4 linked regions of the Tribolium castaneum genome follow. The protein of the gene in region 1 interacts with the protein of each later gene in a biochemical or structural test. Links are inferred from orthologs where the notes say so. Each region holds a gene or a part of one and is shown on either strand. Other genes may lie near its edges.

Region 1 (5,980 bases):
TGCCGCCCAATTTTCTCCCGAATTGTCTCCCTCTACACGGAGCAAAACGAGCTACAGTTCGCCGTTCCGGGAGGTTTGATCGGTGTTGGGACGAAGATCGAGCCGACTTTGTGTCGGGCTGACCGTCTCGTTGGACAAGTCTTGGGAGCAGTTGGGGCCTTACCGAGTATTTTTATTGAGTTGGAGGTGATTTATTAATGGTGGGTCTACTGTTTGTAATCAGCGGGATTGCAGGTCAGCTACTACTTGCTGAAACGTCTGCTAGGTGTGCGCACGGAAGGGGACAAGAAGGGGGCAAAGGTCCAGAAATTGTCCAAGAGCGAAGTCTTGCTAGTCAATATAGGGTCTTTAAGCACTGGGGGACGTGTCGTTGCCACGAAGGCTGATTTGGTTAAGATTGCTTTAACTAACCCGGTTTGTACCGAAATTGGCGAGAAGATTGCGCTCAGCAGACGTGTGGAGAAGCATTGGCGTCTCATAGGGTGGGGGCAAATCCGCGGAGGGGAGACTATTGAACCCACCAACAACTAGACACCAGTCTATCCCTCTACAGGAGTTTTATTTTCTAATACATTTCACACAGGTTACTGTAGCTTATATTTATTTAGAGTTTGGTGTTATAGGTTCCATTTTAAATAATATAAACAATAATGAAATTATGACGTTTTATTGGCGAACTATGCAACTTCTATAACCGTAATGATTAATTTAAACAGGAGTGGAAATGACTTCTGTGTACTTCTTGATTTTGCTAGCGACGCTCATATCAACGTATTTATCACCAATGCTGACGATCATTCCTCCTATGATAGAGGGATCAACTTTGGTACTCAACTGAATGGTCTCGCTTGACTTCACGAACGATTTTAAGACCGATTCCAACTTAGACTTTTGCGCAGCATCTAAGTCTCTGGCTGTGATGACCTCACAAGTCACCTAAAGGCAAAGTTCTAGCATGTACTTAATGACTGAACAACAAATTTTCTTAATATGACTGATTGGGCAAAAATTAGTATTGAACCATACAAACACCGTAAAACATTACCTCTCCACGATGGGCTGCCATCATGACCTTAAAGGCGTTGATAACCCCATCCAAATTCTTCAGACGCCCATTATCGGCAAGAGTCTGCAAAAGATTGGACGTCTGCGCGTTAAGCGATATTTTCGAGGCAATTTGTTTCAAAGCCTCGGATTTCAGCCCGCGCTTAATTGTGGGGTTCTTGATAAATTCCCTCAATTTGGGGTCAGACTTGATAGCTGACTGGAACTTTAGGAGGTCTTTTTCAACAGAATCGAGGGTTTTTTGCTTGCTGGCAGCCGAGTACAGGGCGGTGGCGTAACGTCCGTCAATGCCAAAGACCTGCACCGGAGGCTTAACCATCTGACTTGCGACATTGCTAGTGCTGAAGGAGCGGACCTGCGGTTATGTAATCACATTTTGGGTGATAGAGTGCCGACAACGTAATCACAAGTTGAACCAAGTTGTACTTACAAGCATCGAGAGCTTATTTGTGGCCATTATTGCGTTTTTTTGGTTGCTGGAAGTGAAATCGAACTTAGGGCCCCACTGCACTGTCAAGTTCAACCCTTCGACTGTCAAAAACTAGGGTCTTTGATGGTGTGACTTGTCGATGTTGGTGAAACGTTTTGGAAATGTCAGTTTGACAGTGACATTTTTTCAATTTTTCCGTAAAATTAATTAAAAATAAAATGAAGTGGTTATAGATTTCGTTTGGAATCGATAATTAATAGCGTGACTACCCCGATGTTTTAAAATTTCCCCTCGACTCTCGCAATTTAAGTAATTGGCGGTACCGCTCCCCTCTTATTGTCAGCAAGCCCAGCGACTAAGCACAAATATGCTAAGGTTAAGCTGAAACTACTTAAAATAAATCATTAAGATTAGTTTTAACCAATTTAAAACAATTCACACGTTAAACAAATGTAAAACATATCAGTAGCAACGCTGAGAAGTTTCAATGCCAATCGTAACCTCTAAAATGCTTAAGGTGATTGCAGTAACCTTCCATTACGTGCACAAAACCCTGAAGTGTGTTTTGCAGGAAAAGGGGCAACTAAAATTCGAAGACAAATGGCCCTTGATGCGCCCCATTGTCCTGAAGCTCTTAAAACAAGAACCAGTATCACCAGCCGAATGGCAGGAACTGTTTTACGACGTCCACTTAGTTTGTCTTTGGGACGAGAAAGGGCCAGTTAAATTACGCGATCACTTACAAGAAGATATAGTGCAGTTTATTAAACAAGCTCAAGCTAGAGTTCTGGCTCAAAGACAAGACGAAGCACTGCTGAAAGCTTACATTGCAGAATGGAGGAAATTCTTCACGCAGTGTAACTACCTACCCACCCCTTTTAGGCAGCTGGAAACGTCGTTACAGGGAAAAACTTGGTCAGGGACCAACAGCGGGCAAAGCGGGAGCGCCAAAAAGGGGGCCACAGACGAGAGCATAGTCAGGAAATTAATGCTCGATTCGTGGAATGAAAGTATTTTTAAAGATATTAAGCACAGGCTGCAGGATAGCGCCATGAAGCTCGTGCATGCGGAAAGGAACGGGGAAGCCTTTGACTCTCAGTTAGTAATAGGTAGGTTTATTTTAAATCCCAACACCGTATTAAATTTACATAACAACTCGTTCCATATATCATCATTTAAAAAGTAAAGACCAATTAGTAAATTTCGAATAAAATTTAGATTTTTTTTGCGTTGTTGTTTGGAATGAATATTTTGCAGGAGTTCGTGAGTCGTACGTGAACCTCTGTTCGAGCACCTACGACCGCTTGAAAATCTACCGCGAAAACTTCGAGGCGGCGTACATCCAAAGCACCGAAATGTTCTACCGACTTAAAGCCCCCGAACACTTGGAAACAAACGGCGTCCAGGCTTACATGCGCTACGCGGACAGCAAACTGCGGGAGGAAGAAGCCCGAGCTCAACGTTACCTCGAAGCTGGAAGCAACGGCGTGATCCAGTGTTGCGTCAAAGTTTTAGTCAGCAATAACCTGTCGGTGCTTTTGGCCGAATGTGCGCCCCTGATCAAAGCCGGCGAAACCGACCGACTCCAGTTAATGTTTAGGTTGTTAGAGCGGGTCCCGGAAGGGGTCCAGCCGATGTTGACCGAACTGGAGAACCACATAACCCAGGCCGGTTTGGCCGATATGGTGGCAGCTGCCGATATCATTACGCAAGATTCGGAAAAGTACGTTGAGAGATTGTTGGAGTTGTTCCGGAGGTTTAGTAAATTGGTGCATGATGCGTTTTCGGACGATCCCCGATTTTTAACAGCGAGGGACAAGGCGTTCAAAGCCGTGGTTAATGACACGACGGTGTTTAGGCTCGAGTTGAACACGGGGAGAAATGCCGGTGGGAAGGTTGTAGCGCCGGAAAGTAAGTGTCCGGAGTTGTTAGCCAATTATTGCGATATGTTGCTGAGACGGACGCCACTGTCCAAGCGATTGACCAGTGAGGAAATCGAATCGCGGCTTAAAGACGTTTTGCTAGTTCTTAAATATGTATCGAATAAAGATGTTTTTATGCGTTACCACAAGGCCCATTTAACGAGAAGACTTATCCTAGATGCGAGGTATTTTTGCCGCGAAAAAACACAATTTTGTATTGTTTCATTCGATTTTTAGCGCTGATAGTGAGAAGGAGGAAGATATGGTTGAGTGGTTGCGAGAGGTCGGAATGCCAGCCGACTACGTAAATAAATTAGCTAGAATGTTTCAAGATATTAAAGTTAGTGAAGACCTAAACGGCCAGTTTAGAACTTCAACTGCAAGACACGATGCTATTAATATTAAAATTCTTAATGCTGGTGCTTGGGCTCGGGGCTCAGAACGCGTCACTGTGAGCTTGCCAGTGGAACTGGAGGATTATATCCCGGAAGTAGAGGAGTTTTACAAGAAGAAACACTCTGGAAGGAAGCTACAATGGTATGAATGAACCCATCAAAGGCCCCCTTTTGAAGTTATTTCTAATTTATTCCTTGCTTTTAAATAATAATGTTTTTGGCCTTAAAACTCTCAAAAAAGGGTCAAATAACACAAATTTTGGGCTATTGATGTTTTTTTTTGACTTGTTTAAAAAAAGCGGAATAATGTCGTTTTTACTCAAAAATTGACCCTAGGTACCATCACATGAGCAACGGAACAATAACATTTGCCACCAACGGCGGAAAATTCGATTTAGACGTGACCACCTTTCAAATGGCTGTGCTTTTCGCATGGAATCAACGACCACACGATAGAATAACATACGAAAATTTACGTCTAGCGACTGAATTGCCAGATGGCGAATTAAGGCGGACGTTATGGTCCCTAGTGGCATTCCCCAAATTGAAAAGACAGTTGCTGCTGTTTTCGCCAAATGTTAGCGCTCCTAAAGACTTTACTGAACATACAGTTTTTTGGGTGAATCAAGATTTTGCGCTCATTAAAAATGGCAAACCGCAAAAAAGGGGAAAAGTAATCGAGACAATTATTTTATTTTCTTGTTTTTAAAACGCTTTTTCAGGTGAATTTAATAGGGCGGTTACAGCTGAGTACTGAAAGGTCCCAAATGGAAGATAACCAATCCATTGTACAATTACGAATTCTCAGGACACAAGAAGCCATAATAAAAATCTTGAAGATGCGGAAACGAATATCAAATGCTTCGTTACAAACTGAGTTGGTGGACATTTTGAAAAACATGTTTCTTCCGTCGAAAAAATTGATCAAAGAGCAGCTGGAGTGGCTAATTGAACACAAGTACATGAGGAGGGACGACGATGATATTAATACTTTTATTTATATGGCATGAAATTGTTATAAACAATAAAACATTTGTTATATATCTGAAGATGAGTCTTATTAATCAACCCACGTTACACCCATCTGAGGACGATTTTGGTCATTTTTGAGACTGAAACGTACAATTTTAACGACGATTTTGGGTTTAGAACAATCATATTTGAGAAAAAAATTAACAAACCCGCAAAATTTAAAATAGCGCCAACCGTCAACGTCAAATTGACAGCTGAGTGCGGCCATAAAATATGGTTATGTTGTGACGCTTCAATGTTTCGTTGATAAATTGTGTTGTCTGAATTAATTCTTCCCATTTGTGGCTTCGAGACAATGCCTCAAAGCCCCAAAAAGCCGGCCCCAAAATGGCACCACCCGTCCGAAGTCATGAAATTGCACAAATTGAAAATGAAGAAGAAGGCCCTTCAGGCGCGCATTGCGGGGGGCACTCTCAACACATCGCTCTCCGACGCCCAGGACAACAAAAACGCAGCTTTAGAAGACATCATTTCGGCCAAAAAACGCAAAAACCCGTTTGTGAAAACCAGCGAAAGCAAAAAATGCAAGCAAGATGTTCCCTCTAGTCTTGACGAGTCAACTGATCAGACGTTATTCAAGCTCTTGCATCAAAGTACTCCAAGTACGACGTGCAATTTGACCTCATTCGAGAATATTTTAAAGAAAGAAATCGAGCCTGAAGTGGTGGTTGTGAAGGCACAGGGCCAGAACGATATTCCCATTGACTGGACTTTAAAAACCAAGATACGTTTATGGTCAGAACAGCAATTTTCCTGGAGCCAGAAATTAAAAATCAGTGAAGAAGCATCGGGGACAACAGGATTTGTTCGTTGTTTGGACCAAAACACTGACACAAACTTAAATATCTCCCCAAACTCAAAGTTTCACCAGTGTTGTCTCTACTGGCAACAACCGTCTCTCCCATGGCTCACTCTCTTTCCTCGAGCCTCTGGAAAGGTCTCAGAGTCTGACTCGAGCATTGTTACGAGCGTTGCAATGAAAACCGCCTTACAAGAGGCCTGGAAAGACAGTTTAAAGTCCCTATTCCAGTTAATTAGGACAAAACAGTGTCCGTACTTTTACGTCTGTTCTAATAACTTTACTGTGTTGTTTCGGGCGGCGGGAATTAGCGGAATGGGCGATATACATGCGTTAG
Region 2 (5,491 bases), on another chromosome or scaffold:
AGCAAAATAATGGTGTTACAATAATATGGCGAAACTAAATCTCAGAGAAAAAGACGTGTAGAATAGACTAAAGCAATAAAGACTAAAAAGCAATAAATAAATAAATAAAAAAATGTTTTTTTAGAAAAATTCTTTTATTCAAAAGATGCACTAAAAATCAAAAATATTTTTTTTTTATCAGAGGAGAATATTTTTGCCTACGAATTAGGACTTTAAAATTTATAAAAGCTTTGGGAACGGTCATAACAACACGGCATTACAGAATTTTAAACTGAGCACTGTTCCCAAAGCTTTTATAAATTTTAATATTCTAATTTGTGAGCAAAAATATTTTCGTCTGATAAAAAAAACATTTATTTTTTGCTTTTTAGTGCATCTTTTAAATACAAGTTTTTTTTCTAAAAAAACATTTTTTTAAATTTCTTTATGTATGTGATTAGTTGATTAGATTCAGGTATAATAATAGGTATTACTTTTAATTGGATCAAAATTGAATCAATTTATTTTTCAATCAGGTGGGCTAAAGCTTCTCAAAAAACCTATGCCTAGTTGTTGAAATTCTCGTGACAGAAAAATAAATTAGAAAATGCAAATAAAGACCAAAAATCCCATTGTAATTGCATAGACCGTGTCGGAAAAAATCCCATCAATAATATTGCATGTAAAACGGGGCGAATGACCACGGGCCACAATGGAAAAGACCATTACTTAATTATCTAGCAGCGTTTCGTAATTACAGATCGACTGCTGGTGTTATAGAATTTGATCAATGCGTCCAGATTGGTAAGGGCATTCAAACTCCATTCTATACACACCATCCATACAACAATATTTTTATTTATCGTTTTCCGCGCCGATTGTGATATCATAATTAGTTTTTTGTGCGTTGTGAACTAGAAATCCCGTTTTTTCGAAGCCATAGAACAAGGGCGAGAAAGGGTTGAAAGCGTCAAGTCACTCGATGCGACAGATGGTCCTAATGGGTTTCTGATCTTGTTAGCTAAAAAAAATGTTGACTTTCCTCGGGATTTCCCCGCTTGGAACCTTGAAGATCTCTCTAGGTCACCTCTATTGCACTCCTAACAATTAATTGCCTGAATACTAATAGACTGTGAATCATTTATTTGCTTATACACGACGATAAAACAAAGCGTGATCAGACATGCCGCACACGACACATTATCATAATAAAGAAAATTCTGACCAGACGGAGAATCCGAGAAAAACAAGGCGGGTTGCTGAACTCGCGAAAATTGAAATTTTGAGAGACAAAACGAAAAGTTAAACTGCCACGACGTGAAGTCATCAATTATTACACTCGACGCATAAATGATTTCATAAGTTTATGGACGCTTTTATGACTAAGAACAATCATGTCACTTCAACTCGCAGCATTTCATAAATTTTAACAGTTTACGACGAAAAATTGCCTTGACTTCCTTGCTTGAAGATTTATTTATTTTGTAATTCTAACTCAATGATAATGTGTTTCAGTTCCAGAAATTACTCAAGTCTTAGTTTTTGGAATTGCAGCTAAAAGTTTTTATTTTTAAAAATATCCCAAGTATAAAAAAATTTTTCGTTTTATCAATTTTTTTATCAGAAAACTATCAATCTAAATAGGCCAATAGATCGTTAGTTGAGATCTAATTTGGGTATTTATGACGATACTTTGCAAAAATAAGTTCAAAAACAAGCTAAATTTGCGAAAAAGGCCAAACATTTCGTCCTTTGGCCTGTTTGAAATAATCAGACTTGAGGTTTTGGTGTTAAAATGCTCCGAAAAAGACAAAAATAACGTAACTTTGACTAATTAGTTAAGCTTTCTGCCAAAATCAGAAAAAAATTGTACAGAAATTTTGAAAAAGTTAAAAAATTATTACGTTCTTACTAGATTATTGCCGGTTTACTGTTTTTTTTGCAGTTGAAGGTCCTTTGTTTTCTGCAAAATTCAGAAAAATTGTAGGTACGGATGGTTCGCCAAAAAATAATTCGACAAAAATGAGCTAATGGCAAAATATTTAGAAAAAATCAAAAAAATGTATTAAGCCGTAAGAAGTGATTGTCGGTTTCACAATCGAAGGTTTTTTTGATAAGCTTTGTTTTCTGCAAAAATCATGAGAATTCTATGGATAATTTGCTAAGAAAAATAAAGTCAAGACAAAAATAAAGTAGTATTTTGTGAAGACTAAAAAAATCGAAAATTATTAAAACTCTAAATAGCAATTGCTGGTTCACTATTTTTTACAATCGAAGGCCCGTTAGATAAGCTTTGCTATCTGCAAAAATTGTACAGATGGTTCACCAAAAAAATTATTCGACAAAGAATAGGCCAATGACAAAATATTTATTTTCAGAAAACAAAGAAATTACTAAAACCCTAAGATGTCATTGTCGATTTCACAGTCGACGATCTCTTTGATAAGCTTTGTTTTCTACAAAAATCATGAGACTTATATGGAAAATTCGCTAAGAAAAATAAGAAAAAAATAAAGTAGTATTTGGTGAAAACTAAAAAAAATAGCGAAAATTATTAAAACTTTAAATAACAATTGCCGGTTCACTATTTTTTTGAGATCGAAGGCCGTTTAGATAATCTTTGCTTTCTACAAAAGTCTGAAAAGTCTCACGAATGATTCAACAGAACAAAATAATTCTTCTGAAAACTAACTAATGCGTACTAACGACACAATATTTTGAGAAAACCAAATAAATATTAAAGTCGCAAGAAATAATTGTATATTTCACATTCGATGACCTTTTGTTATTTTCTGCAAAAAAACAGAATTCTTCGGATAATTCCCTAAAAAATAATTGGAACTAGATAGAAACAAAATATTAAAAAAAAAATAAAAAATTATATTAAAACCGTAACAAATTATTGCTGGTTTACTATTTTTTTGCAATCGAAGGCCCGTTGGATAAGCTTTGATATCTGCAAAAATTAGGAAAATTGTTCACCAGGAAAATGATTCACCAAAAAATAATTCGACACAGAATGGGTCAATGACAAAATATTTTGAAAAAACAAAGAAATTATTAAAGCCCTAAGAAGTCATTATCGGTTTCACAGTCGATGATTCTTTTGCTAAGCTTTGTTTTCTGCTAAATCATAAAAATTGTACGAACGATTCGATAAGAAAATAAATCGTCTAAAAATGAGCCAAGGACAAAATATTTTGTGGCAAAGAAAAAAAAAAAGTTCCAAGAAATGTTTGCATAGTTTACAATCGATAGTCCTTTTGATAAGCAAATGCTGTGTTTCCTCAGAAAAATTATTAAGATGATTCGCTAAGACAATTGTCTTTAAAGCGAGTTAGTGACGAAACAGTTTACTGTTTTTTTCTAAATGAAGACCTTTTTGATAAGCTTTGTTTTCTGAAAAATAAAGAAAAACAAATAATTTTCAAAAACATACTTCCTCTAAAAACCAACCAATAATTAACACATTATTTAAAAAAAAAACAAAAATTTATTAAAGCCTTAAGCGGCGATCGTAGGTTACAGGCGAAAGTCCTTTAACTTTTGCTTTCTGCAAAATTCGTAAACATCCTACGGATAATTCGCCAAAAAGTAATTAGTCAACCAATGAGTCTATTTTGCTTACCTATTTTAAAAAGGCAAAAAAAAGAATTCAAATTAATTAATTCCAGGTTTTTTGTAATTTTTTTTCTCGCTCAGAACAAAACTAAATTTTGCGAAACAGTTTTATTTTTGAGCATAAATGAATTTTTTTGCAGGAAAATTCGAACAATCTATAAGTTTCTAACACAAAATAAGATAATTTTTAAGAAATTGGGTTTGTTTATTGATTCATTTTAGATTTTACTTTTCTTATTATTATTTTTTGTTCTCGCTTCGTAAATCGTTGACTTTATTGGTCTCTCTCATGCCACCGTTATGCAAAAGGTCGCCAGACCAGCACCTTTTCGACAATAGAATCCGTTGGGTGCGTCCACCCCTTCGGGGCCGGTTCCTGGCCGCCCCTGAAACACTGGGCGTTTCCGAAATAAATCACGGCCACTTCTGACCAATGGTCTGTCCACGCCATCTGCGTAAATTGCCCTCGGTGAAAATCCACCTAATCTCGAAAAAATCCCTATCACCCCTCTCAAAACGTCATTATTAATTCTGACAACTCGAATAATAACAAACAGTCAAAGGTACAAATGCCTCCCGCGGGGTTATTCGAGCGCACCCTTCCTCGCTCTCAAAGAAAAAAATAAAGTTACAGATGTCGCCGAAAAAACTCATAACGACATAATTTTCGCACGCCTTTCGGACAAAGCGCACCCTTTGCCCCCGCCGAGAGGGCGGGAATCGATTCATTCCATTAGCAACGGGCCGATTCAATTTTTGCAATTTTATAATAAATTAACGGAGCTTTCGCTTGCTTTCAGGTGCACATCAAGTCCTCGTTCATCATGAACGGCGTCTGCGTGAGATGGCGGGGTTGGCTGGACCTGGAGCGCCTCGACGGCGTCGGCTGCCTGGAGTACTGCGAGGAGCGGGCCGCTCAGGAGGACGCCCTCCTGCGGGAGCAGATCGAGAGGTACAACCAGAGGCTGCGGGAGTTCGAGGACAAGCAGAGGGGGTACAGGCAGCAGGACCGGCCTGAGCAAGACCTAGAGGTACGTGTCGGGGGCGCCCTCCACCAGAGGAACTACATGAAGCTGTATTAGGTTTAGTGATACTTGGCATGATTAATTTTTCGTTTAATCTGTCTTTTTTACCTTTATTTTTGTAAATATTTATCGTTGAATGTTGACGTAATTTTAGTTACCCGATTCTTATGAATGCAATATGTAAATAAACGGATTTTTCATCCATTTTGTTTCATTTTTGTTTGCTCGTTTTTATTTGACCGTGAATCGGAAAGAAGGTAAGTAACTCATTTCACATCACACGCCAGCGGTTTTTTGGATTTTGTTGGACAAATGTCGGTGTTTCGTTTTCTAGAATAATGCAAGTGAAATCTTTAGAGTGCGAGCGTCGAACCGGAGAATTAGAGGATTAGATTAAAACCGGAGCAATGTTTCAGTACCCGTTTTTGCTTTCAGGCGATACTTATTCCGCCCGAAATCTGTTTATTCACCATGGTGGCTCCCACGCAGATTTCTCGATGCACCCCAGGGATGCATTACCGTTTGATGGGCCTTAATCCGATTTTATCTGCACCTGTTTAAGGGGCACGGACAAGTTTATTTTACTCCGGAAAAAGCCTCGTCTGTAATTAATAAACAGCAACAAATCGGAAAAAATACAATAGTGGTGAAAGTTTCTATGCTTTGAGGCAACACTTACAAAAACCTCGCTTTGGAAAGGCGCAACACGTGTAGAATGAATCGATTTGTCAATAGTTTTTGTCATTTGCTTGCTTTTTGATGAAAAAACCCGAGTTACCCAACGTGTTAATTGCTGCAAGAGCAAGTTGTTGAGTATCGTTTTTCGTATTGTCATGGATGGTGATTTTATCGTGGGAATTTATTCA
Region 3 (4,593 bases), on another chromosome or scaffold:
CACTCCCGACAGTAAGACAGACCAATCAGAAGGCGATTAAAGTGCTTCCAAAAACTGATGTTTTATTGTTCAAATATCGGCTGATATTTGCCTAATTAAATAAATTTTGCTGTTTTAACACTTTGTCTAATTGTTGTTGACGTCCCTTTTCCAATAAAATTATTTTTGCCTTCTTCGAAGCCAATTTCAGCGGCAGATGTGGGCGAAGATTAATTCGGTCATTAATTTTTATTTAACTTAATATTCTGCAACATTTGCCTGATATCAGGTCCTAGGACCTCCTAGCAGGGCCGAAATGCTGTAATTTTGACTTTCTTATCTTGAAAACTATTTAAGCTTTTTTATTATTCCTAATGAATAGCACTTAGAAGAAAATGATGCTTGTATGTTGTTGTTTGTTAGAAAATTACGTAAAAAATTGACGCTAGTTCCAAAAAAAATTATTCAAAGAAAGCAGCAAAAAAATATGTATACCTTATTTAATAAAAAACAGGAATCATTTTTGATAAATACTGAAATTACAAAAGGCTTTTTCGTGTTTTGGGTTGATCCTGGGTCTTCGTGGAAAGAGTAGTGGTCACGCAGCGCTATTCTGGTGGACGCTCGGCAAAACAAAACCGCCTTTCTAATATAAAGTTACATTTTTGGAAAAACATCTAACGTCCAAATCAACAAAGAGAAAAAATTTAAAATAACATACTGTCAATTGGGCTATCAGTATTACGTGTCACAAATCAAATTTTGTGAACATTTCTTTGCAAATTATCTACAATTTAAATGTATATACAAAACAATAAAAAAACCTTTATTGTAATGTGACATTTGCCTGTAATTTTAGATTCTTCAAAAAAATTTTGTGATTTTCGTATGGCAAGCTTTTAAAAATAAGTCATGTTACAATATTATGATAAAATTTTAAGCGTCATTATTCGCATTTTTGTATTTTTACGTTAATAATTTGATAACTTAATTAGGGCCATTTATCCAAATATTTCACTTGGGTGGCGCACCTGTTACGTATTGCTGATTATAACCGATTTACCTGTTAGGAATCTTCATGAAAATATTTTATCAGTCTACATACTATCAGAATGAATAAAAGGGGTATCAGCGTTGCGGCAGTTACATGCTTATAAGTCGTATACTCGCGAAGAAAATGGGTTGTGTCTCATCAAAACAGTCTAAAAAAGATGCCAAGAAGGTTCGAGGTAGGGAAGACAATCGTGGGCGTCTTTCGGTGATTTGGGAGTACGTAAAAAATTCAAATAAGTACTTATATTTTTTAACATAAATTTTCTATTCAGGGAGTTAAGCTCTGCTGAGGTCCTCAACCTTGCCAAAACAGACCCGGAGGTCTACCAAATTTGTTTAAGAGATAATATCATAAGACCACCCTGCCGTAGAAGAAGCCTGTGGAAGATGTTTGGTAACGAAGCCGCTCAAGTACGCCCCAAAAAGTAAACACAAATGTATCTTTTATTTACGCAATAAACTATTTTTACTCATTTAATAAATCATTCATGTGGGTCTCTCCTTCCTTAGTAAAAAAATCCAAAACATTGGAAATAAAAATTTGATTTACAAGGTCAAGTCTTGTAGTATTTGGGTGGAAACTTTTTAAATAACCATGGTACATATACGTGTTATAAAACACAATTAGACCACCCCAAATTTGAGTTTTTTCTATTAACCAAAATTATGTTAAAGTAACAGTTGATAGTATTTTCGCCTTATTTCGTTTAAACAATTTGAAAAAAAATTCGGTTCGAAGATCTTTCGGTCCGGGTCACTCTCGTTGACAGCGGCGCTGTCAGTTACCTAACCAAAAATTTATATCAAAATTAAACATAAACAATGCGATGATTTTCATTGTGTTTCAATAATAATTTGTAGAATCATGATTACGCTATCCCAACGCTTGAAAAAACAGCAAGAAGACCGTTCTTCTAACACGAACCGAATTTCAATCAGGGACAAACTACTAATTAAAGAATCACAAGAAATGGCCCAACTTTTGCCCAGTAATTGTTCAGTTTTCTACGAGAATGAGAACGATTTGAGCAAGTTCATTTTAACCGTGAGACCCACGGAGGGCCTTTGGGAGGGTGGTACTTTTAGATTTGCTATTAACGTTACCGAAGAGTATAACATGGTTGTAAGTATTGCCACCGAGTTGCGATCGGCGGTTGAGTCTCGTTTGCAGCCTCCCACTGTCAGATGCCTCACGCGTTTGTGGCACCCTAACATAACCGAAGTCGGCGAAGTGTGCCTATCGCTCCTGAGGCAGCACAGCATGGACGGGCTGGGCTGGTCGCCCATTAGGAGATTAAACGACGTCGTCTGGGGCCTACACGCCTTATTTACGGTATTTATCGGATCGTTTGGACACGGTTGACGTTTTGTTTCAGGATTTGTTAAATTTTGACGATCCTTTAAATATAGAAGCTTCGGATATGTATAGAAACTCTAAGGAGGAATTTAGAATGAAAGTGAATGAGTACGTTATGCTGTATGCTAAAGATTAATCGTTGTAGAGTCGTCGATATTACTGTTTGTCCGCTTTCACGAGTGTGAATACTCCATTTCCTTTTTTTGTAAAAAGTTATCGTAAAGTTTGTCCACAAGTGAGCAACTCTTCACTTTGGGTAAAGTTTACCACAATATATTTATATGAATTACCGCTGTTTCAATCCAAACACACACTTCTCATAAATATTTATTTGAAAGGATAAAAAAGAAAAGTGATAACTAGGTGGCAAATACATCCAACATAATATTCACGCAAAAGGAAGCTCGGCGTTTAGCAAGTGCACATTATGTTCAAGTATTTCCCGTTACAAACAAGTACAATACATCAAATACGCTGAAGCAACTTATGACTTGAGATTATGTAGCAGTTCGTTGAGCATAACGGACCCAAAGACCATGTTCTCGCAATTGACAGTGACCACCTCCTGCTTGGTTATTGTGACCAGAACGAAGTTCGACGATTTCAGCGTTTGGCCCGCGAACCTGTAAACGAGACTAATCACTCGCCACACAAAAGCGGGCGTTACCTCAGGCTGTCGCTCGCTGGGTCGCACACGCCCAAGTTGCTGCATTCGGTGACTCTTTCGACGATGTTAGAGACGCACTTCACTTTGCCGATATGTTCGTTCATGCCGCCCAACTTCGACTGCTTTTCCTGGAATGTGGGGGTGTCCATCCGGACGGGGCGCACCAGCTCGCCTATGGTCGGCTTTATGCAGACGCTGAAGTTGCCCAACGAGCACACGATCTCGAAGTTCGCCGGCTGGGTCGTGTCGTTGAAGTCGATCCCGAGCGACGCGGGCAGGCAGCCGTTTGGCGGCAATCTGGCGATGTTTGCGAACTCATACATCGACATGTCCAGTCCTAAATTCTACAAAATTCGGACACTGGAACCGTTTCAAAGAAACAAAATAAGACCAGCCAACCTTTTTTCCCAGCCTAATATCACTGATGTCTTCGGTGGTGTTGTTGGTGAACATTATATTGATGTTTGCCATACTTGGCGATAAAATATGAGGCGTCCGGGTGAACCTGTAAGTGGCCGACAGCCCCCGCCCGTTGATTTTGTTAATAAGTTCGATGGTTTTAGTGTTGGTGAAAACGGGGGGCGTCATTTCGACCTGCGAAGGTGTCGTGCTTACGACACTCGGTGTTAGGAACCCGCCCAGTGATGGGGTCATCACGGGTGCAGTGCTATCAACGTCGCCTAAATCTAGCAATAAGTCTAAGTTTGATTTTGGTTTTGGTGCTTCGGGTTTCTTCGCTTCTTCTTCACTCTCCTCACTGCTGGACTCTTCGCTCGAAGTGCAACTCGCCGACTTCCTGAAATTGTTTTACTATCAATTTGCCCGAAAACCACAGTTCCGTACTCATCACTTGACGATTCTTCCTCATATTGACTTTCGCTGTCTTCACTCGAACTGTCGCTACTAGAGCTAGACGAGTCGGAGCTGTCCGAGCTGTTGTTGCTACTAGCCCCCCGGGAACTCCCCGACTCCCACAAGAACATGTCTTTACCCTTTTTGTCCTGAAACAGTGATTTATTTCGGAAATTTCGGTAACGGCTGATAAGTACCGATTTTTTGTACGATTTGGAGTCTTCAATTACGATTGGTTCGACGTTTCGGACGTCACCCGGGGGCGGATTCTCCGGGAACGGGGGCAGGGGCTCATAGCCGGTCGCTCGTTGCTTGATATAGTGCGACAGGGAGCCCAATTGCAAGTCTTCGTGGTCTTTGAAATGCGACTGAAGTAGGGGTGCGGGCTTGCTTGCCAGGAATATCCTAGCCGATTGGGAGGCAATTCGGCCGTTTTGTTGCGGTATGAACTGCTTAAACAGCCTTGCTTTGTCCCTAATGTCGTAGTTTTGATCATACCGGGCCAAATTAAAGATATATTGGCACAATAATGCCGTTTGTTCGGAGTTTGTTATGTATAGTTTTACAGCCAAGTTCATTACTTGTAATTTGACAATGTCGTGCTAAAAACGCAAAATCATTTTTCGAAGTGGCCAAGACCGACTTACTTCGTCAGAGAAGGTTTTGGCTAATTTCCGGAGAATGT
Region 4 (6,250 bases), on another chromosome or scaffold:
AATTTAATGTTATTTATTTTGGAATAAATTTTAGAATAAACGATACCTTAAATTTAAATTAATTAATTTAATTATTTTGTTGTAATTAAAACATTAAAGGCTTTAGGGGTTTATAAAAAGCTTCATTAAATTTTGAGACGTTAAAAGTTAACAATGCGAATGAACTAACCAAGTTGTTTCAATTAGGTTACTTGATCAATTAATCACGCATTTAACTGCGGATTAAGTTAAACCGGCCCTAAGATTAATCATTTGTATGCGGTAACAGAAGAAAGGCGAAGTGTTACACAGCAAACATATTATTAACCATGTCTTGTAATTTTCGCATTATTTCTAACAAAATTTTGAAATAATAGAGTTACTGACTGAAAAGCCAGCAAAAAAAATAAAAAAAATTTTTTCGATGTGTTTTTAGAAAAATCAATCTCAAACCAAAAACTGAAAACTTAGTTTATAATTTATAAACCATATCTCCAACCACGTTTTTCGTTTGCTTGGCTATACTGTTCAGAAAAAGGTTGGTTTTTCACCTTATTTTTAAAATAATTGTATTGAAAACTGAAAAACGTGTTTTTTTATAAGACCTATAGGTTATATTGATATCATAAGTTGTCTCCTAGTAGCAAAATTATGATCTAATAATAGACCAGCTGTGTTATTAAATAATAACCAATATAAAATAATAATTAATAGTAAGCACAAAAATTTTATAATATTTTTTTGTTCTTAATATTGCTTTGTGACCTCATTTTTGTTTATTTTTATTTACATTTTATTCTTGTTACTTAATTTTACATGAGAATTAATTTTGTTACATTTCGAAATATTTTGTGTTTATTTTCTTTGATGATATACCTAATAATCGTATAAAGTATAAAAGCATAAAAGATAATTACAAACATACAGAGCATTTGTGAAATACTACAATGGAATATAACGCTACAGTAAAAAAATTACTCAAATATGAGAAAATTATATCAGGAAATTATTTAATCATAGACTATAAATATCAAATCACCTAATTTTCAGCCATTCCAGTTTAACGGACGGAACACTGCAAAAAAATTTTGATTTTATTTTCAGTTTTTATGAACAGTATCAGTTGAAATGATTTTTTTTTCTAGGACAACAGTACCAGTCAAGGTGTTTCCAACCTATAATTGGAGCCACATTGTAAAATTGGAAATGCGAACAGAAAAAAAAATACAAATTGATATCTATCATAGATTTTTAAATTTTTGCAGAACCGTTTCTTAAAAATTTCAATTATTAATTATTCAATTATCAATAACCTTAATTATCAAAGACTTTAACAATATCAAAATTAAGACACTGTTAACATCGCATTTAACCGAATATTTTTTTTAAATAAGATTGATAAAAATAGTTATTAATGACAAGATCTTCCAATAAAACTAGAAAATATATAAGCTATTAATTCTTTGAAAAGCATAAATAATTTATAACAATTACTTCTAGAGAAAATCCGACGTTGGCATTTTTATAATTTCGAAACAGCTAATAATTACGCTAACATTTGATACTGTTCAAAATTTTTAAGACATGACTGTGAAGCACCCCAATGCCCATAGCTGACTTATTAACTATTAACTCAATTAATTAATAAAATATTTGATTTCGGCTGTATTTTTTGGAAACGAAATTTAGTACATTTTGAAACCAAAACATACATGTTCCATTGAAGCCCAGACTAGTGGCTCCCCTAACGCCCGTTTTTTGACACTGGCTGACTTATTAACTAATCATTTAAAATTAATATAAATTAAATAAATATTTGATTTCTTACCTTGCAACATTTGAAGTTCAGCTGAAAACTCATCAAGCTCCATCGCAATGTCTTTATTAGCCCCTCTCAGATCCTTTCGAATCGTAAAATCAAACGAAGTCGTCGGCTCCCCTAACAAATTCTCCAAATCCTGAACAATGTCATCAACATTTTCTGTAATTTTCTCCGTAGAAGTATCCGTAATATTCATATCGAGCAGGTCCTTATCGGACGCAATCGGCGATGGGTTACCACCCCCTGACATCTCCCTCACTAAATTAATAACTGGGTTCGCACTACTCGGGTGTTTCCCCGAATCCAAAGCATCCGAGGATGTGCTACTGATTGGATCGTCAGCAGCTGAACACAATTGAAGTAAGCGCAAGGAAAACTGGAAAAAACACTTACCAATGTGTGACGTTGAAGTGGTTGTAAATGCATCGGTGGAAGACGTTGGGGTTGAATCACAAGACTCACTTTTTTCGTCGGTATTCGATGACAGCAGGTTGCCCATTGTTGAGGTTAACTCGCTTTCGGTGGATTTTTCACTTTCCATTGTCACTTGCACGGGAAAATGGTGCTATTTGGTTGAAAACACACCGTTTATCACAGACAATTAATTACGGGTATAATTAAATGCGGCATTTTTGTTTACGGTTTTAAACGACAAACGCCATCACAAGTGGAAGCTTCGCCAGGAGTGCCAACGGCAACCGTCAGACGAAAATGGCCATTAATAAAATAATTATCAATTAATACAACACTTGTTTACAATTTTAATGCGTTAGCCATCCATTAGTTAAGTTAATAACATTGATTTTCGCAAAATTGGTCATTCTGTGGTGGTTGAAGGGCACCCAACACACGCGTAAAATTCCCCAGTCGAAATTTCACCCCAAACAGTTTGGCAATTAACGTTTGTAAAAACTCACAATTTTGTGTTATTTGGGCAAAAATGGCAGCGGCAATGGACGTGGATGTTGACGAGGTCGAAGTTCCCACTTCGAGCAGTTCCAAGGGTGAAAAGAAGCGTTTCGAAGTGAAAAAGGTAAGTTTGTGAGACATAACCTAACACTTGATGATTTTTCATTTTTATGAAGTGGAACGCCGTAGCGTTGTGGGCTTGGGGTACGCTGTGTCATTTTATTAGACACGTTGGTTTTAATTAAAATTTTAGATATCGTGGTCGATAATTGTGCCATTTGTCGCAATCATATTATGGATTTATGTATTGAGTGTCAGGCAAATCAGGCCTCAGCGACCAGTGAAGAGTGTACAGTTGCTTGGGGAGTGTGTAATGTGAGTAATTTGCTGTTTTTTGAGTTTTGGTTTTAGTGAATCTGGTTTTAGCACGCGTTTCATTTTCACTGTATTTCGAGGTGGTTGAAGACAAGGCAGGTGTGCCCACTAGATAATCGAGAATGGGAATTTCAAAAGTAAGTTTTTTTATTTTAAATGTTTTTCTAACGGGTTAATAGTCCCTTTGTTTTTACAACTTTTACAATACAGAGGGTTTAAATTTTTTATTGTTATACCATCTAGTGGTCAATTAACGATCTACTTTGTTGTGTGACATGGCGGGAAATTTGAATGTCACATTTCACAGTTTTTGTTATAGTAATTTCATAATAATACTTAAACACAGGCTGTCCCAACGATCCCAAAAAGCTCCATAATTTGTTTATTATTAAAGATATTGAGTTTTCCTTTTTTTTAGATACGGGTATGCATATAGAGGATGTTCCAATATAAAAAAACACTAAAGCTATGTTTTTTCAAATGAAACACCCTAAATTTTATTGCATTTTTGCTTAGTTTTTAAAATATTTTGATTTTTTTGACAAAAACACAAAAAATTATTACACAAAAAGGCAGAATCGTAGAATCCCACACGGGGAAAAGTTCAAACTTATAAATCTGTTCCAATTGTTTAGCGTATTACAATTAGAAACAGAAAAATTAAAGTTTATTAAAACTTGAAAAACTTAAATGGAACACTCTATTTTTTGTTATTGCTTCTCAAAAATTACTAAATTACTAAAAACATAAAGTTTCAACTTCCTAAAGTTACTAACTAAAAAGATATTTCACTTTAAACGTTAATTTCAACAACATATCACAACCATAGCAACTCCACCACAGACCACTTGTTGGAGATTATACGGGACTAAAAATTCTATAAGTATTGAAATTTTAATTATTTCACTGTTATAAATGACAAATAATGGCCTAAAAGTAACATTAAAGTTATTATTAGCAGAAAATTTCACTTTTTGACTACTGAAACAATAGGTAATAATTTTTTTATTGTTTAATGTTAAAAATCTTTTGAGTAATCACTAATTAGCGAAAGACCCAACTGTTAATCTTGTCAGAGAGACTATTTAAAGGTCTTTTAGATGCAAAAATAAAAATTGGGTGTTCCATTTAAAATTTTTAAGTTATTCAACTTGCAACAAACCTCTTCATTTTTTATCTTCTTGATTGCAGTAAGCTAATAAAAATAATACATCCTTGGAGTTTGAACTTTCTTTCTTTAAAGTGGTGAAAGTTCCTCTTTTCTGAGATTCTAAGTTTTTATGTAACGATTTTTTTAAAAAAGCGTGTTTTGGCAAAAAAATCCAGTTATTGTAAAAACAAAGCAAAATCGACCTATAACAATTTGAAAAGCTTGAAAACATCTGTGTTAAAAGCTACATCCAAAAATGCAAAAAATATAGGTTGTTCCATTTAAAAAAACAAGTTTGTATTGTATCTAATTTTAGAAACAGCCTGTATACTTGAAAATAATTTTAAGTGGTAGGTACTTTAACTTAAAAAACAGTATAATCGTCAACGTTAGTATTTGTCCTAAGAACGTATTTAAACAACTTAAATAACTTAAATAAAAATCAAAGTAATTTTACTAAAAACTGAATTAATATGTATTTGTTTTCTAACAATTGTTCAATTGTTGTAATATTAATTAATTATTTCGTTTGAATAAATAAACTGTTTCAAAACTATAAAAACGCCAACGTCGCCTGTTACTGAATTATTTTTTTAAACAAAATACATAGAATTTTTAAAATAGTTACTAATGATTAGATCTCTCATTGAAAGTATAAATTACATTAGGTACTATTTTTTAAAGTGCATGAATAATTTATAACAACTAATTTTGAGAAAAAATGCGATTTTGGCGTTTTTATACTTTCAAAATAGCTAATACATATACTGCATTTGCCAAATAACAACGAATAATGAGAAACGCTTTTGTAAAAGTTTTTTAGTTACCGGTATATTGACTTGTTCTCTACAGAAATACATCATCCGATAAATTTCAGAAAAACTCAAACAGTAGTTTACGAAAAAAATCGAAGAAAACAATTTTTAAGAAACTGTAGAAAGTGAAAATAAACTGAAACATGTGATGGTGGTGTAAATTACTTTGATTTTTTTTATTTTATTTTTTATTCTAAGAAAGTACTGATGATGTATTTTTTGCAGGTATGGGCATTGATCGTTATGTTATCAGTAGCATAATACGGTTTTCGGTATTTGATTCTCACCATTTTTTTTCGTAAACTCAACATGTTATAACGGAAATTTAGTTTTTGTATAATCCAGGTCTTGAAATTTTTTGTTACATTTTGTATTTCAATAAATTATTATTCAATTCATACTGTCTTTTTTCAATACCTACTATCCCAAAATAATTACTAGTTGTAAAAATAAATTTTTTTGGTTTTTACTGAGTACGCATAAAACCTAATCTTCCGAATTCCAGTATCTTTGTTCATGGATTGTCATGCACATAACGTAAATATTTCTAATTTTATTAATAATTTATTAAAGAGCTGAAATTATTTGCAACTGCGTGTTTACTGTTCCCATTTTGGCCTTAAAAGTTTTAAGAAATGTTTCCTTCTCTTTTTTTTCTTCCTTGAGATGCATTAAATTTAAAGTTTCGGGAGTTGATACTTTTTGAGTCTTTTTATTTCGTTTTATGTTAAGAATATCATTTGGTCATTAATATCAATTTTTGCGTGTACTTATTTGTTGGTTTTTTCTTAATTTTTATTTTGTAGGGTTGAACTGAATAACTTTCAGCCACACTTCGCCCCACTGAATTATTTATTGTTTCTTTTTTCAAAGCCTTCTTAATATTATTATTATCGATACCTAATGATAATGAATAATGATTTTTCATTTTTTCAAATACTAGTCATTCCAATTTAATAAAAATGCTAACAACTTCGTTTGTTTAAATAATGTTGATAAAAATGTAAAATATTTTTTGATTATTAGATGTGTCATTGAAATCATAAATTACATTAGCTATTAAGGTTTAGAAGTGCATGAATAATTTAACTTTGAGAGAAAAGGCGGCACTGCTATTGTAATTGGAATGGATGTTATAAAAGGAGAGGAGCTATACAAAAATTTAGTTATTCCCATAACATTTATTTCAACACTCCTATA

Evidence for each region.
Region 2: the proteins of Cul5 (region 1) and protein big brother form a complex in vitro, tested with the Homo sapiens proteins (4 studies listed by BioGRID). The link is inferred for Tribolium castaneum from reciprocal best matches to the Homo sapiens genes CUL5 and CBFB.
Region 3: of the proteins of Cul5 (region 1) and NEDD8-conjugating enzyme UBE2F, one has a biochemical effect on the other in vitro, tested with the Homo sapiens proteins (2 studies listed by BioGRID). The link is inferred for Tribolium castaneum from reciprocal best matches to the Homo sapiens genes CUL5 and UBE2F.
Region 4: the proteins of Cul5 (region 1) and Roc1a form a complex in vitro, tested with the Homo sapiens proteins (4 studies listed by BioGRID and IntAct, with this or other methods). The link is inferred for Tribolium castaneum from reciprocal best matches to the Homo sapiens genes CUL5 and RBX1.

Annotation. Positions count from the first base shown.
Region 1 is NC_087397.1:4,184,248-4,190,227, reverse strand, and holds Cul5 (cullin-5), read left to right. Parts: upstream 1-1,794; 5' UTR 1,795-1,982; coding exon 1,983-2,012; intron 2,013-2,066; coding exon 2,067-2,604; intron 2,605-2,752; coding exon 2,753-3,602; intron 3,603-3,654; coding exon 3,655-3,954; intron 3,955-4,148; coding exon 4,149-4,485; intron 4,486-4,534; coding exon 4,535-4,822; 3' UTR 4,823-4,861; downstream 4,862-5,980. Other genes in the region: ATPsynO (ATP synthase subunit O, mitochondrial), read right to left, coding at 709-936, 1,046-1,420, 1,496-1,522; hd (protein downstream neighbor of son homolog), read left to right, coding at 5,140-5,980. UniProt on the Homo sapiens protein: Core component of multiple cullin-5-RING E3 ubiquitin-protein ligase complexes (ECS complexes, also named CRL5 complexes), which mediate the ubiquitination and subsequent proteasomal degradation of target proteins.
Region 2 is NC_087398.1:9,983,891-9,989,381, forward strand, and holds part of protein big brother, read left to right. Parts: intron 1-4,400; coding exon 4,401-4,631; intron 4,632-5,491. UniProt on the Homo sapiens protein: Forms the heterodimeric complex core-binding factor (CBF) with RUNX family proteins (RUNX1, RUNX2, and RUNX3).
Region 3 is NC_087403.1:3,756,467-3,761,059, forward strand, and holds NEDD8-conjugating enzyme UBE2F, read left to right. Parts: upstream 1-1,786; 5' UTR 1,787-1,897; coding exon 1,898-2,155; intron 2,156-2,203; coding exon 2,204-2,365; intron 2,366-2,408; coding exon 2,409-2,525; 3' UTR 2,526-2,678; downstream 2,679-4,593. Other genes in the region: rb (AP-3 complex subunit beta-2), read right to left, coding at 2,874-3,012, 3,057-3,400, 3,456-3,852, 3,900-4,057, 4,106-4,510, 4,556-4,593. UniProt on the Homo sapiens protein: Accepts the ubiquitin-like protein NEDD8 from the UBA3-NAE1 E1 complex and catalyzes its covalent attachment to other proteins. Together with the E3 ubiquitin ligase RNF7/RBX2, specifically neddylates cullin-5 (CUL5).
Region 4 is NC_087402.1:12,065,481-12,071,730, reverse strand, and holds Roc1a (RING-box protein 1A), read left to right. Parts: upstream 1-2,645; 5' UTR 2,646-2,741; coding exon 2,742-2,834; intron 2,835-2,886; coding exon 2,887-2,914; intron 2,915-2,963; coding exon 2,964-3,085; intron 3,086-3,136; coding exon 3,137-3,222; intron 3,223-5,275; coding exon 5,276-5,288; 3' UTR 5,289-5,448; downstream 5,449-6,250. Other genes in the region: e(y)3 (titin), read right to left, coding at 1,808-2,146, 2,195-2,342. UniProt on the Homo sapiens protein: E3 ubiquitin ligase component of multiple cullin-RING-based E3 ubiquitin-protein ligase (CRLs) complexes which mediate the ubiquitination and subsequent proteasomal degradation of target proteins, including proteins involved in cell cycle progression, signal transduction, transcription and transcription-coupled nucleotide excision repair.